Linked DNA regions of Caenorhabditis elegans. The protein of the gene in region 1 purifies or fractionates together with the protein of each later gene. This does not show direct contact. Each region holds a gene or a part of one and is shown in the gene's direction. Other genes may lie near its edges.

Region 1 (6,854 bases):
TCTTGATGACATCAGTTGGTCCAGTGAGAAGGGAAGTTCCAGTGTCAACAATCGAGTCGATTGGTCCGCTGGTGTAGGTGGTTCCATCGATGACAACCGAAGCGAGCTTGATTCTCCAGTAGTCCTCAGAGACGAGTGGCTCCCAAGCGATGTTTCCGACGTAGTGGTTCGGATCGGTGTCGCAAAGGGTAATTTCTCCTCCGTTGGTGATGTCGTTGGCGTCACGGCTAAGCCAGAAAGCGAATAGTTGATTCTTGCAGATGGCGGAGTTGGCGAAGATTTGGTCCATTGGCTGAGAGATCTTGTTAACAGAGATAGTGTCCCATCCCATTCCGAAGATACCGTCAAACTTGGCAGCGACGAAGGTGATTCCTGGCTCAGAAGTAGCACAGGCCAATCCTTGGTTCTTATCAGTACAGTAGGTGGTATCATGTCCGAACTATAAATATATTTTTCAGCTATATTGTAAATAACATCATAAGATTGACTTACGCAGACAACATCGTTGTCAACGGTTCCCTTCATGGATCCAGTTCCGTATTGGATCTCGAAAGAGGCTCCAGTAGCAGTGCAGGAAGAAGACTTCTTGCAATCAAACTGAAAATTATTTTATTGAAAAAAAGTTGATTTGAATACTTCAAAACTAACTCTGTTGTGCATTCTGCAGGCAATATCTCCGAATGGGCAGTTGGCGCATGGCACCCACAAGTTGGAGGATCCAGTATCGAACAAAACTTGGAAGTTTTGTGGTGGAGTTCCAATGGTCACTGGTCCATAGTATTGAGCATTGGAGTAATCAGAAAGACCCTCGTTGAATGCATCCTTGTTTGGAATGTATCCTGGGACGTACTTGGCCTTAAGATGCTCTTGGATTGATCCGAACTTGTATTGTTCACGAGTGTAAGTGCGCTTCTCGAGCTTGATTCTAAAAAAAGAAGAAACATGATAAATAAATAAAATAAAATAATTTAAATATATGAATGGTATATTAAAAATGTAACTAACCTCTGGATGGCAGAAGCCAAGGCGACAAGAGCCAGAAGAAGGAAAACGCGGCCCGACATGGTGCGTTATCACTAATTGAGAAGCAGCGCTCCGGGTTTCTTTTATATGCGACACAAACTCTTGATGATATAATTGTAAACGTCACAACCGATTTTAGTGATAATTAGTAGAGGAGGTTGGCTGGCTGAAAACGGAATTATTTCCTCTCACCGAGTCAAAAGTTTAGATCGGCTATTAAAGTAGTGTACTTTGTGTGTAAAATGAGGGAAAACCATTAAAAAGTGTCCGGGTTGACAAAATGACTTGCTGACAAGGATCCGGATTTTATAGCGTTCTGTTTGCCAAAAGAACACATTAAACTTTTTCCAGCAAAATCATATGTACTTTCAGCAACAAGTCAACACTGCTTTGTCGTCGTCACACCCTCATCGTCATTCTGATCAAAATAACAATTTCAATGGCCTACAATTCAGATTTGTTCTCCCCTATTAAAATATGACTACACTTTAAAATTAGTTCTAGAAAGTTCCACACGTTAAAAATTTAATCGGCTTATTTTCACAAAATATGAAATCATTATCATTATCGTCAAATTGTCTCACAATTTTCGTTACGAAGTAGATAGGGAATACGAAATCAGAATTTGGACATTGGACTAGATGAAATAAATTGAGAACTGTTGCAGTGGTGGAGCAGGTGTGTATACAATTACTAATAATTTTAGAACCTGAAGTAATTTTTATAAATTTGTTTCATTGAACCAAGTATTGAAGTTTTAAGTAGTAAAACATGTGTTACTATAAATTGGCCGAAAGTTTTTTAACAATATTTTTTGTTGGCTTAAAAACACTTATATTAGTCGTGCATGACCAATAATCATAATATAAATATACATACTTCAAAAACTTTTAGATATATATACTTTTAAGTTGAAATTTTGGAAATTATATTGTTTTCCAGCCACTTCCAGAATTATGATAGGTGAAAACTAAGTTTTCTTGAATTTTCGACTGCACAAAAAATTTAAAAAGTCGTTTGAAAAGTTTCACTATAGTCTTAAACCTTTAAACCACAATTTAAATTTCATTTTCACAACGGCCAATACCCAACCTTTGACAAACTCTGAATTCTAGTTTTTTCAACAAAAAAAAGTGTATAAATGACGAAAATGAAAAAACTTTTTGTAGAATGATAAATTATTTCCCAGCCGCTGTGTCAAGGCTAATTAAACAAAATTGAAGTTTTACCTAGCTCTAGTTTTTTTTAATGATTTTAAAAAGTCTAACTTTGAAAAATTTACAATTTTCTTAATATTTACTCTTTCTTTAACAACTTTTTACCTTTTAGATTAAAAATTGTTCACCCCTTTTCTGAATTTCTGAAAGAGAGACTCTCCTGAAACCAAAATTCCAAATAAAGACATTCATATCACGTTTTCTTTCAAGTATCGTTTTTAATGTATATATTCATTATTTTTATCTTAAAAACATTATTGAGACGACATCAATCAACCCCACCACATCAGTTTATCTCATCAAGTTCATCATGCTCTAAAATATCGTCAACAATGATTTCCCCGGCGGGTCTTGTTGGCAGCTTCCCTCAAACCGCCAACCCAGTTGAGCTGTGTAAAAAGCAAAAGTTTGTGCGGACGGCTCAGCGAGCAGCCGTTGTAAAGGATCTCGTTCCACACATCTCTTTCACACAAAATCTTCACTTAAAATGAAAATTCGTTTACTCGATTTTTCGATATTCTCCATTTTGTTGCTATTTCGAACGTCGAAATCATTCAAAGCTCCTACTCACGTGACTGCAACCAAGGGAAAGTTTTTTGTCCACACTCTCCATTCTGCACACTTTTTCCCGAGCACAGGTGCAAACTATTGATCGTTTTTATCAATTGCTCTTTTATTTTCAGTTAAAGTGAAATGGGAAGCTACGCTAAACAAAAAGCCGGCTCTTCCAAACTGGTTACGTCTCTTACCGTCGCGACACCCGGAAATCGCTTATCTAATAGGTGATCGATTAGTTATTAACACACCAGTACATTCATAAAAATAAAATCATCTTATGATTTTTATCGTAGTTATGTATGTTTCAGGCACACCGGTCACAAATGTGCAGCATGTTACACTACACGTGATTGCGAAACGACTGGATAATTTTGATATACAGCAAAGAATGGTGGTGATTAATTTGGTGGAAGACTGTTAGTTTATAGTTTAGAACATTAAAAAAAAGAAACAGTAAACTGTAATTTTGCAGCATTGTATCAAGGAAATACGCAACAAGTTTTTGAACTGCCAATAAATGGACTAGATGTAGAGGATTTAGTTTCAAATCGAGACAGAAAAATAAGTGAGTAATAAAAAACACACTTTTGTCATCATCATCATAATATTGTTCAGGTCAACTAGAAAACTCATTGCGAAACACATTCCGGGGAAGAAATGTAAACCCATATATTGCAGGTGTTCGCTCCAGATACATTATTCCACGTGGCAAGGAGCACATTTTCAAAAATAGTTTCGGGTAAAAAAATGTTTTAATTCAATTCAGTTTTTGAAAAATTCAGAACAATGGTGTATGTTGGTACACAGCAAAAGTTCTATCCCGGAACCATGTCAATTGTACACAATTTACAAACTATGCCCGAGTTTTGTTCAAATCCCTCATCTGTCGTGATGAATAAGTATTTTGCACCAACATTTCCGGTGGACTGGTGTAATGTTGCGGTAGTAAGAACAAAATAATTAAATTTGTCAACATTCTAAAATGTTTAAATATTAATTCAGAGAAATATTTCATCTCTTGAAGGAGAAGGTATTGATGAATTGATAAAGGATGAACAAGAAGAGAAACTGACAAAAGCGAATCCAGATCAGGTAACTTTTAAACAAAACTCTACATGTTTTGAGAAATGCACAGCTTTGAAGCGACCGTAACTTAGTTTTCATTTGATTATTAGTTTATTCAACATTTTACACTGAAGAATAGCTTAACAAACCAATTGAACGGCTCGAATAAAGTAGTAGCGAGATGGAAATGGACGGATTAGCAAAGTTTGACAGTTAAGCATAAAATATGCATTTGGCCTTGAAATTTTACATAGCCACAATAATCGCGTGCGGTTATCGGGGTGAGCTGGCAAATAGCAAACGAAAGTATTGCGGCAAGTAACCATAACCTGAAAGAAGCGGACCGGGCATGTGATTAATGTTTTCTTCAAATTTTAGAATTTAATTTCAGAAATTTTCAAAAAAAAATTTCAGAAAAAATGTCTTTACATTTCAGAATTTGAACGAAAAACCTGAACAACCCCCACGTGAACTATATGGATACTCAGAACATGGTTTTAGCATCGTCTTATTTGCCATAATTCTTGGTGTTTCAATTCTTTTTGTTTTTGCACTCGTGCTCATTTTTTTTGGGTCAAGAGAAGGGCAGAAATGGAGAGACGACAAAACGTCTGGGTATATTTTACATTTTAACTTCAGTTATTGTACATGTTTGTACATAGCTAATTTACAGTGAAACATTGGGCGAATTCATTAGCATTCGTGACAATCAGAAGAAGCTCCGCGAACTATCACTTCAAAGGCAACTTCTGAGCATGGGACCAGACACGAACTCCACTGCGCCTTCTGGAATTCATTCTTATTTACAATCAAGAAGTAGAGCTCCAAGCACTAGTATTGCGAGATTTAGCAAAAGTGCGAGTAGACTTAATGATAAAGGTACTTTGGTTTTTAATATTATCTTTGATTAATTATGTTTGTTCAGAGGATACAATTGAGCTTCTCCCTTCAGTTGATCATGTCCCGGTTGGAAAACAAACTGTTGCAGAAGCGGCAAAACAGTGTGGAAGTTCTTTGCATTTGTACAGAAACCCTCTGAGTAATGAAAGTGATGAACAGGATACGGAGAGTTCTGATGAAGACAACTAGACTATTAAATTACATTTATAAGTATTCAATAAACGATCTCAATAATCAAACACCGGGATATTTGTGAATTTTGCTGTACAAGCAGTTGCTGTACAGGCTGTTGTGGCGCCTTCAAATTCGTAAAACATGATGAGATTTTCCCCTTTGTGAAGGAATTCCGATGGAATATAAAGAGTTTGCTGAAAATTAACTTTTGAAAAATATATTAAAAACAGTAAATTGGGCACCTGTGGTCCAATAGAAGCCCAATATCGTCCAATGTTGTACTGATTGATAGTCACAACGCCTTTTCCCCAACCTCTTGTGTCTAGAAAAGTGTCAGCTGGAGCTGTTTTGATTATTAAATTTCCAATGAACACCGACGGTTGCTCTATTGCTGCCGATTGAGATTTCTGTAAATAAAATAATATATGACGCACGTTTTTGAAGTAGCTGATACTTCAAAGTCAATTGTTTCGAAAACATGTTGCTTCAGACTCTCGTAATTTTTCACCAAACTAATTTCGTATGTTTCAATTGGAACTTCACAGCTCTCCCAATTCTCGAGAGTTATGTTACGCATGTAGACATTTCCTTGAATTCCCTGGAAGAAACTTCTCAATTGAAAACGTACACGTTGGGGCCTTACTCTTGACATAACAGGGTAGTTGTTATGGTCTCTACCAGTTATTTCAATTATGATTTCCAATGAGTTGAACTGGTCCAAACATCCTTGAACATCTATGGTGTTATTGTGAATTGAGCCAAATTGTTTGTAAAGGGCACCCTGAACAAAATAATTATGCTATCAATTTTGATAGTCATGACATAAATATTCAAGCAATGAATTCTCCTGAACTTCTTCTACAATGCTAAAATTAGCTATAAAAGTTTGGCACGTTTTTAATTTTGGAATTTCAAAATACCTTTTTCCATAACGGTAATTTTTTCAGTACCTTCAAATGTTTAGATTCAAATAAGCCAGGTTTAAATTTACAACTGTGCTCTAAATTCTTCACTTTTCAAAAATTCTATACAAATATAAAAGTTTACCACAAAGTTTTGATTCAAGAAAATATACGCATTGTCAGCAAAAGTTGGAATATACAGGGATCCGCACTCAATAATGGTCTGGAAAAACCAACACTATACGAAATTTAAAAATCTCAAAACCAACAGTATTATAATAAATGTATCCATATCCTTGACGAATATATTCAGCCGTTCTAGGCGTTTCTGGGCTGCTCCAGCATTCGGGATTTGCGCCAATTATGAAACCAGAAATTGTGTCAAATACTGTGAGTTGGACGTCAGGATACGCAGTCCGTGGTAAGTTAGCTGGAATTGGAGTCGGCGGATTCTGCCAGCCAGGAATGTTGCTGATCCAATTTCTAATGGAAATATACAGTGGATTAACATCACCAGCTTCAGAAATAGGAGCAAATGAGTCATATGACGTGGTGACAGGGTAAGGATCGACGGCTCCGTTCCAATATCCGAAATTTGTGCCGCCGTGAGTCATATGAAAGCTTAAACTAGCATTCAATGCAAATGCGGCTGAAAAATAATTATAATTTTAAAGTTATTTGCAAATTTACTTTTTGCCGTTTGAATAATAAGATTATTTGGGTAAGGATCAGAAACATTTTTGCCCCATAGTTTGAATGGATTGATAAGAAACTGCGAAGCAACTGCCGGCGCACCTGAACTATTTATTGTTTCAATTATTCACAAATTTGTTCACAAACCTTGCATGAATGCTTTTTGCATACTGAACCAACTTTCAATTTCCCCGGCATTTGCATTTGGCACAATTTCGATAGTTGGTAGAATATTTGGAAGTGTTCCACATCTCATAAATTGAAGAACTGGTGGATTGACAGTGAAAAGAACAACATCATTTCCTAAATTCTCCTTCGCCAT
Region 2 (6,737 bases), on another chromosome or scaffold:
TGTCGCTTCAAAGCACATCTGAGCAACTAGTCTTTACTTCCAATCTTTCATTTTTACCTTCGTATTTCGAATTTATATCAGGAAATATTTCAGTTCATTTTTTAATAGTACAATTTCTAAAAAGTCTCCATGAATAAGACATCAACGACAAGTCCTAATGAATTGTCATTGGAATTTGTTGGTGTCGGTAAGTTATTATATTAGTTTATTTTAAAGTTTTAAAGTTTATTAGTAAGTTTATTAGTTTAAAAATGCTTAGATGATCGTCTCTCTAGGATGCAATTCAATAACAATTTCAAAAATTGTTCAAATATAAAATGGTTTTCAGGTGTTGTTGATTTCCCAGTATATTCTAATGAAGACTATTGGCAGCGAGAAGTTCCATATGCAATTTTCATTCTAATTTTTTGTACTTTCTTTATAATTCTTCAATTTTTGGTAATGCGTGTTATGATAACTGACAAGGATTTAAAAAAGTTATCTGCATTTCAGGTGAGTAATATAATTCATGATTTGTTTCTTTAGCCATTGCGAAATGTTCAGATAATGTTTATGATATCTTTCTTTGACACAATTCAATTATTTATACATCTAACTGCAGTATTCTACATTTTAAATTCTAAACCTCACTTTGATTTTCCCGATTATGTATGTCTTCGTTAGCAGATCTTATCCTGATTTTTTTTTATTTTCAGTTAATCGGAGCTGTGATGAATGCATCATGGGTCTCAATGCTCATTCTCAGCATATTTTTAAATATTAATCGGCTCATTTCAATTGTTTTTCATTTTCAATCCAACAAAATATTTAATTCTTTCAATATGAAAGTAGGTTATTAACATGATTTATCTTTTTTTCAATTCCGTCCTTTCAGATATATTTCACTATAGTTCTAATTGTATGGTGTATAGTTTGTTTTTTAAATGCTTTTGGATTCAGTAGAATGGTTTATTTATTACCTGCTTACACGTGGCACTATGCCGTGAGTACAACTGTGAGAAGTCCCACTTTATGTTTGGCGAAAGCTTCGCATATTGCCAAATGATAGTCAACTTTTCAATTTTATTTCCAGGCTTCAAATCCATTATCAGCTGTATTAAGGTCTGTAAGTGCTGATATATCTTTAATAGATGTCGTATTCTCATTATTTGCTCATTTGGTTATCTTCAGTTATATTTATTTTGTGAGTAAAACATACATATAATTTCGTTTCAAAGAAAATTGAAGAAAAAAACTTATCGAAAACTGTTTCTACAGTATTTCATGCAAAAAACTTTCAAGTACAATATCATCTACAGCTACCCCATGATTTTCGAATTAAATTTTCAATTCGTCAAATCTCAAAACGTTTTAGGTATATGAAAAAAATTTCACAGTAGTCGCAAACAAAGGGCAGATATTTGTATTAAGAATGTTTTGAAACTTTTCATTTCCCTTCAGAAGAGCTAATGTTTCATTATTTTTCAACATTTGTTGATTTTCAGAAAGCAGCATTATTGTCAAAGAAAGAATTAATATTGACAATTCAAGTATTATGTGTTTCTATATTTCATGTTATTGGGTATTTGACATGGGAATATCTACCAATTCCATGGGAATTACCAATTGGAGTGTTCATTGGACATGTTGTATGGATGATTTGGAATTCAATCAATTCAATGCTTTATGTATTAATTAATCCGTAAGTTTTAGAACTTTGGTTGACTGAAAACATTTTTAAAAAAAGTTGCAGTCGTATTCGTAACCTGGTATTAGCATCAATTGGAAAACAAACAGAAGTCAGTGGACGTACAATGTTTGTTGCTTCGCACGTATCAACAGTTCGACAATCCGGAGCTAAAATGTAGTCAGGTCTTCAAATAAAATATAACTTTTAGTTTTTAGAATTTAAGAAATAGAAAGATATCATTAGAAAAAATAATTATGTCTAGAAATAAAAACAATTTATTTCTTGTCATCGATTTCCAAACATTTATTTATAGGTCCATGAAATCTAGACACAGAAATCTTTTTACATGAAGCCTAATTTACTGCTAACAACTGAAATGAGAGGAAACAGATCCTCTCGATATTTTCAATTTTAAGGAATATTCTGCAAGTATAGGTGGACAGAGTAAAAAAGCTTTTGTCAAAGTAAAACATTGATAAACTGATAACACACAGAAACAAATAAAAACCGTCGTAAAACAGAGACACCATCACTTCATAATAAAAATGTTTGTGTTTTGTTATCAAGGGAAACTACCGATTGAATTTTTTTTTGAAATTTTGAAGATTTTCTGGCAAATCGAGAAAAAAAAATTAATGTACGTATATCTCCAATTCGAAGCTTTGATTTTATTATAAGAACAGAGAAACATTAGATTTTTATTGGTTTTTGAAACACCAACACAGATTTCAAAGTTATATAATATTTGCGATATTTAAAATCGATTTCAAAGTTCTTTTTATTTTCTACTTCTGATTTTTTTTCGATTATTAATTCTTTCATCTACAAGCAATAAAAACACAATAATATTTGCCTCGTTATCAAATTTATCTTATCAATTGAAAAATTGAGCAACACTGTTCAATTTGACCAGTCTAAAAGACATTTTTCATTGAAAAAGTTGCCAATTTCTGAGTGTATTTTTCCAAAAATGTTCAAGATTTCAAAGTTCACAAAATAATACTTATAAATGCATAAACTCATGCTCTCCTCATCCATCGTTTTCCTGTGATTATCTCAAAAGTTTCTATTTTTAGTGTTTTTTGGTTCCTTGTTCATTTTTTATTTTGTGTGATTTTTACGTCTCGAATAAAAAATATTAAACAAAATGTTAGAAATTGAATTTTACAAGACTATCGACTTGATACAATACATCGACGAATTGTGTGAAATGACCGACGGAAAATCACTTGGTAAGTAATTTCATTTTGAATTTTTTTAAATTAATTTTTCAAGCAATCCCGGAATAAATATAATTCATTTCTATTCTTTAAAATTATTTATTGAACTAGACATTCCACCAGGTCGAGGCGTTACGGGGGCACCTCTTCCCCGCCTCTAACCTCACCCACCTCGCTCCTTGATTTGGAAAACCCTTTTTTGTGTATTTAACAAATGAAAACTACTACAATAATGAACTAAAATAAACTGCAAGTATAAAGCTAAACATTTTTAATTTTCAGCCATTATATCGGTCTCTGACAAGACAGGACTTATTCCTCTTGCTCATGGACTTGTATCTGCTGGCTTAACACTTATTGCGTCCGGTGGAACAGCGAAAGCGATCAGAGATCAAGGAATTGATGTTCATGATGTGGCAGATGTAACAAAGTTTCCTGAGATGCTTGGTGGAAGAGTTAAAACTCTGCATCCTGCCGTTCATGGAGGAATCTTGGCAAGAGATACGGAAAGTGATCGAAAGGATCTAGAGGTGAGATAGCTTATTTTCTTTTTTTTTTGAATTTTTTTTATTTGTAAACTAACTTGTTTGTTGTCGAACCGTTTTCAACTGAAACTTGCAAATTATATTAAGTGGAAATAAATAAATTTGCAACATTTGTGCAAAACAATTCTGACAAAAGATCGGATTTTGTAGAACTTCCGGGAATCTCACAAAATGAACTTTGTACTGGCTTGAAAGATTTCACCATTACTTAGTTTAATCGAATTCATGATTGAATAGAATGAAGTGAAGAAAAAAAACCAAAAAAAGAAGGGCTAACGGGTGACAAAAAGTTGGTCCTTTCGTCAGATGAAGAAGGCTTATCTCGTGAAAATAAAGAGTTGAGAAGGAGACAAAAAGAAGATTAGAAGACAATTTTTCGTCCTCTTTTTCTTCATTTTGTCGTCACGACTTCATTCAAATTTCAATTCTTATTTCGAATTATATAATTTTTTTTTAAATAAACATTATATCTCGCTTTTGTTTAAAAAAAAAGTTAGTCTAATCTGAAACTTTGACAATTGTTTGTTAATTTTTTGAAGTTGGATTACAATTTTTTGGAAAACGGGTTAGAGAGTTTTTTCGGATTTTTTTGAATCAATTTTTTGTTACTTGCGCATTTCGCAACCTATGTCTTGCCTCTTGTTGGGATTAAAGTGCCAGCCCTGATGGCTAGAACACTTTGAGACAAAGTTGAGATATGTCACCTTTAAAATTAAATTATTAATTAGAAACCGAAAAAAAATTTCATAAAGTTAGCGTTCAGTTGAACGGAGAACGGCAAAATATTAGTCAAAAAACTTTGTTTGCCGGAAAATTGTATTACAGTCATATTGCATTTCAGGATAAACATTGAATCTCTGAGATAATCAAAAAATAATACTCCAGGAACATTATATTATTTGAAATTCTATTGTGTATTTTTAGAAATATTTTATCAATTCAGAGTGAAAATAAGATTTTTGTGAGATAATCTGTAAACCTTCAACTTTCGTCATCAACCATAGAGTAAAATTAAACTTGGAACATCCATAAAAATTGGCGTAAAAATCAACGAACACAACTGATTGGGGTGTTGTTATGATGCACCGAGAGCAAGCCTACGTGTCAGTTTCTACCGCCCGTGTCTATTCAATTACCTTCTCTTTCTATTTTCAATTGAATTTGTTTCATCTTCTTTTCCTTCCTTGTATTTTTTGGTTATTTTCTTTCTTCCAGAAACACAACATTTCATTCGTCTCAGTGGTGGTTTGCAACTTGTATCCATTCAAAAAAACTGTTCAATCCAAGGATTGCTCTGTAGAAGAAGCTGTTGAGAACATTGACATTGGTTCGTTTATTTCTTTCTTTTTTTGAGTTTATTCATCCGGAAAATTGACTTTGTTTTATGTTGCCATCTTTCTTTTTCCCCTTGTTCCTTTTGATTTCAATTTATGCACTTGACTTATTTTGCTCCTTTCGTGACTTCTAACCCTAAACCAAACATCAACATTTTTTCACAGGAACAGCTTAAATTGAAATCAGAAAATCATTTTAGCAGAACTTCATAACCAAAACATACGGCCTAGATTAAAAAGTTGAATTTTTTCAAATTTAAAGTGTTCATCCTGTTTTTAAATAAGTTACCAAATATTATAGTTCATTGGAATAGCATATAATTTTAAGGGGTGTAATTCTACTTCAAGCTAATAATTCAATCAAGTTAAAACGGATGTTCGTCAATGAAATAGACCATTCTTGCATTTTCAAAGACTTACAATGTTCAATTGAAAATAATTTAAACATTATCAAAATATATTTTTTGTATAAAAAATAATATTTCGGTCGCCTTCCATTATTATGATAGGGGGAAAATTGTCACTTTTGGATGAAAATAAAAATTCAAGATTTTTGATAAGTTTTACTATGTTATGTAATTCGTCATTTTAGCATTAGTGAATGATTTAATAATTGGCAATATTATCACATACAATACTATGATCAAGTAGTTTTATTTGAGCTAATTGAAATATCAATTTCGTGAAATTGGGCACGTTCAGGTTCTGAAAAATCGTTCTCTACTTATCACTGTGAAAACATGTATGTATTGTTCTTCTCCCTTCCTAAATCCTTTCTGACACCAAAACAATTATATTTTCTTCTTGTTCGTCTTTTTTAGTTCCTCAAAATATAAATTCAATTAACACGGAAGCTGGAGAATTCACAAAAAAAGACAATACAACCAACAAAAAACTGAGAAAATAATAATTCGTTTACACTTTCATTCTATACTTCCTCTCAATAAGTTCATATAATCTGTGATCATCTTCAGAAAATTCTTTCAGAAACATTTAAAGGAGCAAATCTTACGAATGCATCATTTCGTAAAGCTTGAGCTCTAGTTTTTGGTATCATTGAAATTTCCATATTATAACTTCTAATCGAATGGTTTTTTTAATATTAAAAAAAGGATAAGGTTATAGACATTTTATGATCTTAGCACAAAGTACAAAAAAGTGGAAATATTCGTTCAATTGTACCCATTGTATTTGTTTTTCCAACCGTTTCCTACATTTTTATCCCATTAAAAGGGCTTTTGTTTCATGAATCTTTCACCTTTTTTCCTGTTTTTCCGGGTATGTAAAACCCGCCCAGATTTTTTCTAGAATCTATATCACAATATAAACTCATATTCTTAAAATGTTGTTGTGTCCGGTTTTATTATTAATTGTACAGTAGGACATCAGAGAGTAAATCTATAAACCTTCAATTGTCCCCGTGGGTCCATTTTCATTGTAGCTATAAAAGAGAATGAAACGTTCGATTTCAACTACATTCTCAATTTCAGGAGGAGTCACGCTTCTTCGAGCAGCTGCCAAGAATCACGAACGTGTCAGTGTGATCTGTGATCCTGCTGACTACGATCATATCATTTCGGAGGTTAGTTTTAGATGGTTAATAAATCATCACAACCGATGAAAGCTTCAATAAGGCCAGTAAATAAATATGTGGGAAATAATACTAAGCTACTAAATTACAATGATTAAACATTGTTATCAGATATTTATATGATTTTTTTTCTACAGTTCACTTGCCAGTTTTTTAATTTTATTGAACATATTTTGAGCCAAAAATTTACTTGTTTAGAGATTATTCGGAACCAGATAACAATTTCGGATGTTTCCAAAAAGTTTCATGATTTTGAGAACAACTGGAAAACCTTGGATGTGGTGAAAAACGTTCAGATTTCACTTCTCGCTCCAAACTTTACGAATTTTAAAACAAAAACTATGTTCATTTATTGCAATAAGCCAAAGTCATGCAATC

Evidence for each region. Proteins that work in one complex are often made in the same cells at the same time.
Region 2: the proteins of sgca-1 (region 1) and atic-1 fractionate together in Caenorhabditis elegans (co-fractionation; one large-scale study listed by BioGRID). This does not show direct contact.

What each region holds. Positions count from the first base shown.
Region 1 is NC_003284.9:6,785,401-6,792,254, reverse strand, and holds sgca-1 (Dystroglycan-type cadherin-like domain-containing protein), read left to right. Parts: upstream 1-2,706; 5' UTR 2,707-2,727; coding exon 2,728-2,878; intron 2,879-2,923; coding exon 2,924-3,022; intron 3,023-3,106; coding exon 3,107-3,214; intron 3,215-3,270; coding exon 3,271-3,363; intron 3,364-3,413; coding exon 3,414-3,537; intron 3,538-3,580; coding exon 3,581-3,743; intron 3,744-3,800; coding exon 3,801-3,890; intron 3,891-4,299; coding exon 4,300-4,478; intron 4,479-4,536; coding exon 4,537-4,742; intron 4,743-4,788; coding exon 4,789-4,952; 3' UTR 4,953-4,990; downstream 4,991-6,854. Other genes in the region: asp-3 (Aspartic protease 3), read right to left, coding at 1-439, 493-597, 649-925, 1,006-1,064; bgal-2 (Glycoside hydrolase 35 catalytic domain-containing protein), read right to left, coding at 4,991-5,131, 5,180-5,344, 5,392-5,535, 5,581-5,718, 5,985-6,062, 6,109-6,488, 6,530-6,634, 6,680-6,854.
Region 2 is NC_003282.8:7,879,188-7,885,924, forward strand, and holds the start of atic-1 (Bifunctional purine biosynthesis protein ATIC), read left to right. Parts: upstream 1-2,840; 5' UTR 2,841-2,879; coding exon 2,880-2,901; intron 2,902-3,171; coding exon 3,172-3,419; intron 3,420-4,649; coding exon 4,650-4,761; intron 4,762-6,258; coding exon 6,259-6,350; exon of another isoform or gene 6,351-6,383; intron 6,384-6,737. Other genes in the region: srt-73 (Serpentine Receptor, class T), read left to right, coding at 130-187, 329-492, 544-648, 696-827, 875-982, 1,073-1,183, 1,485-1,681, 1,733-1,847.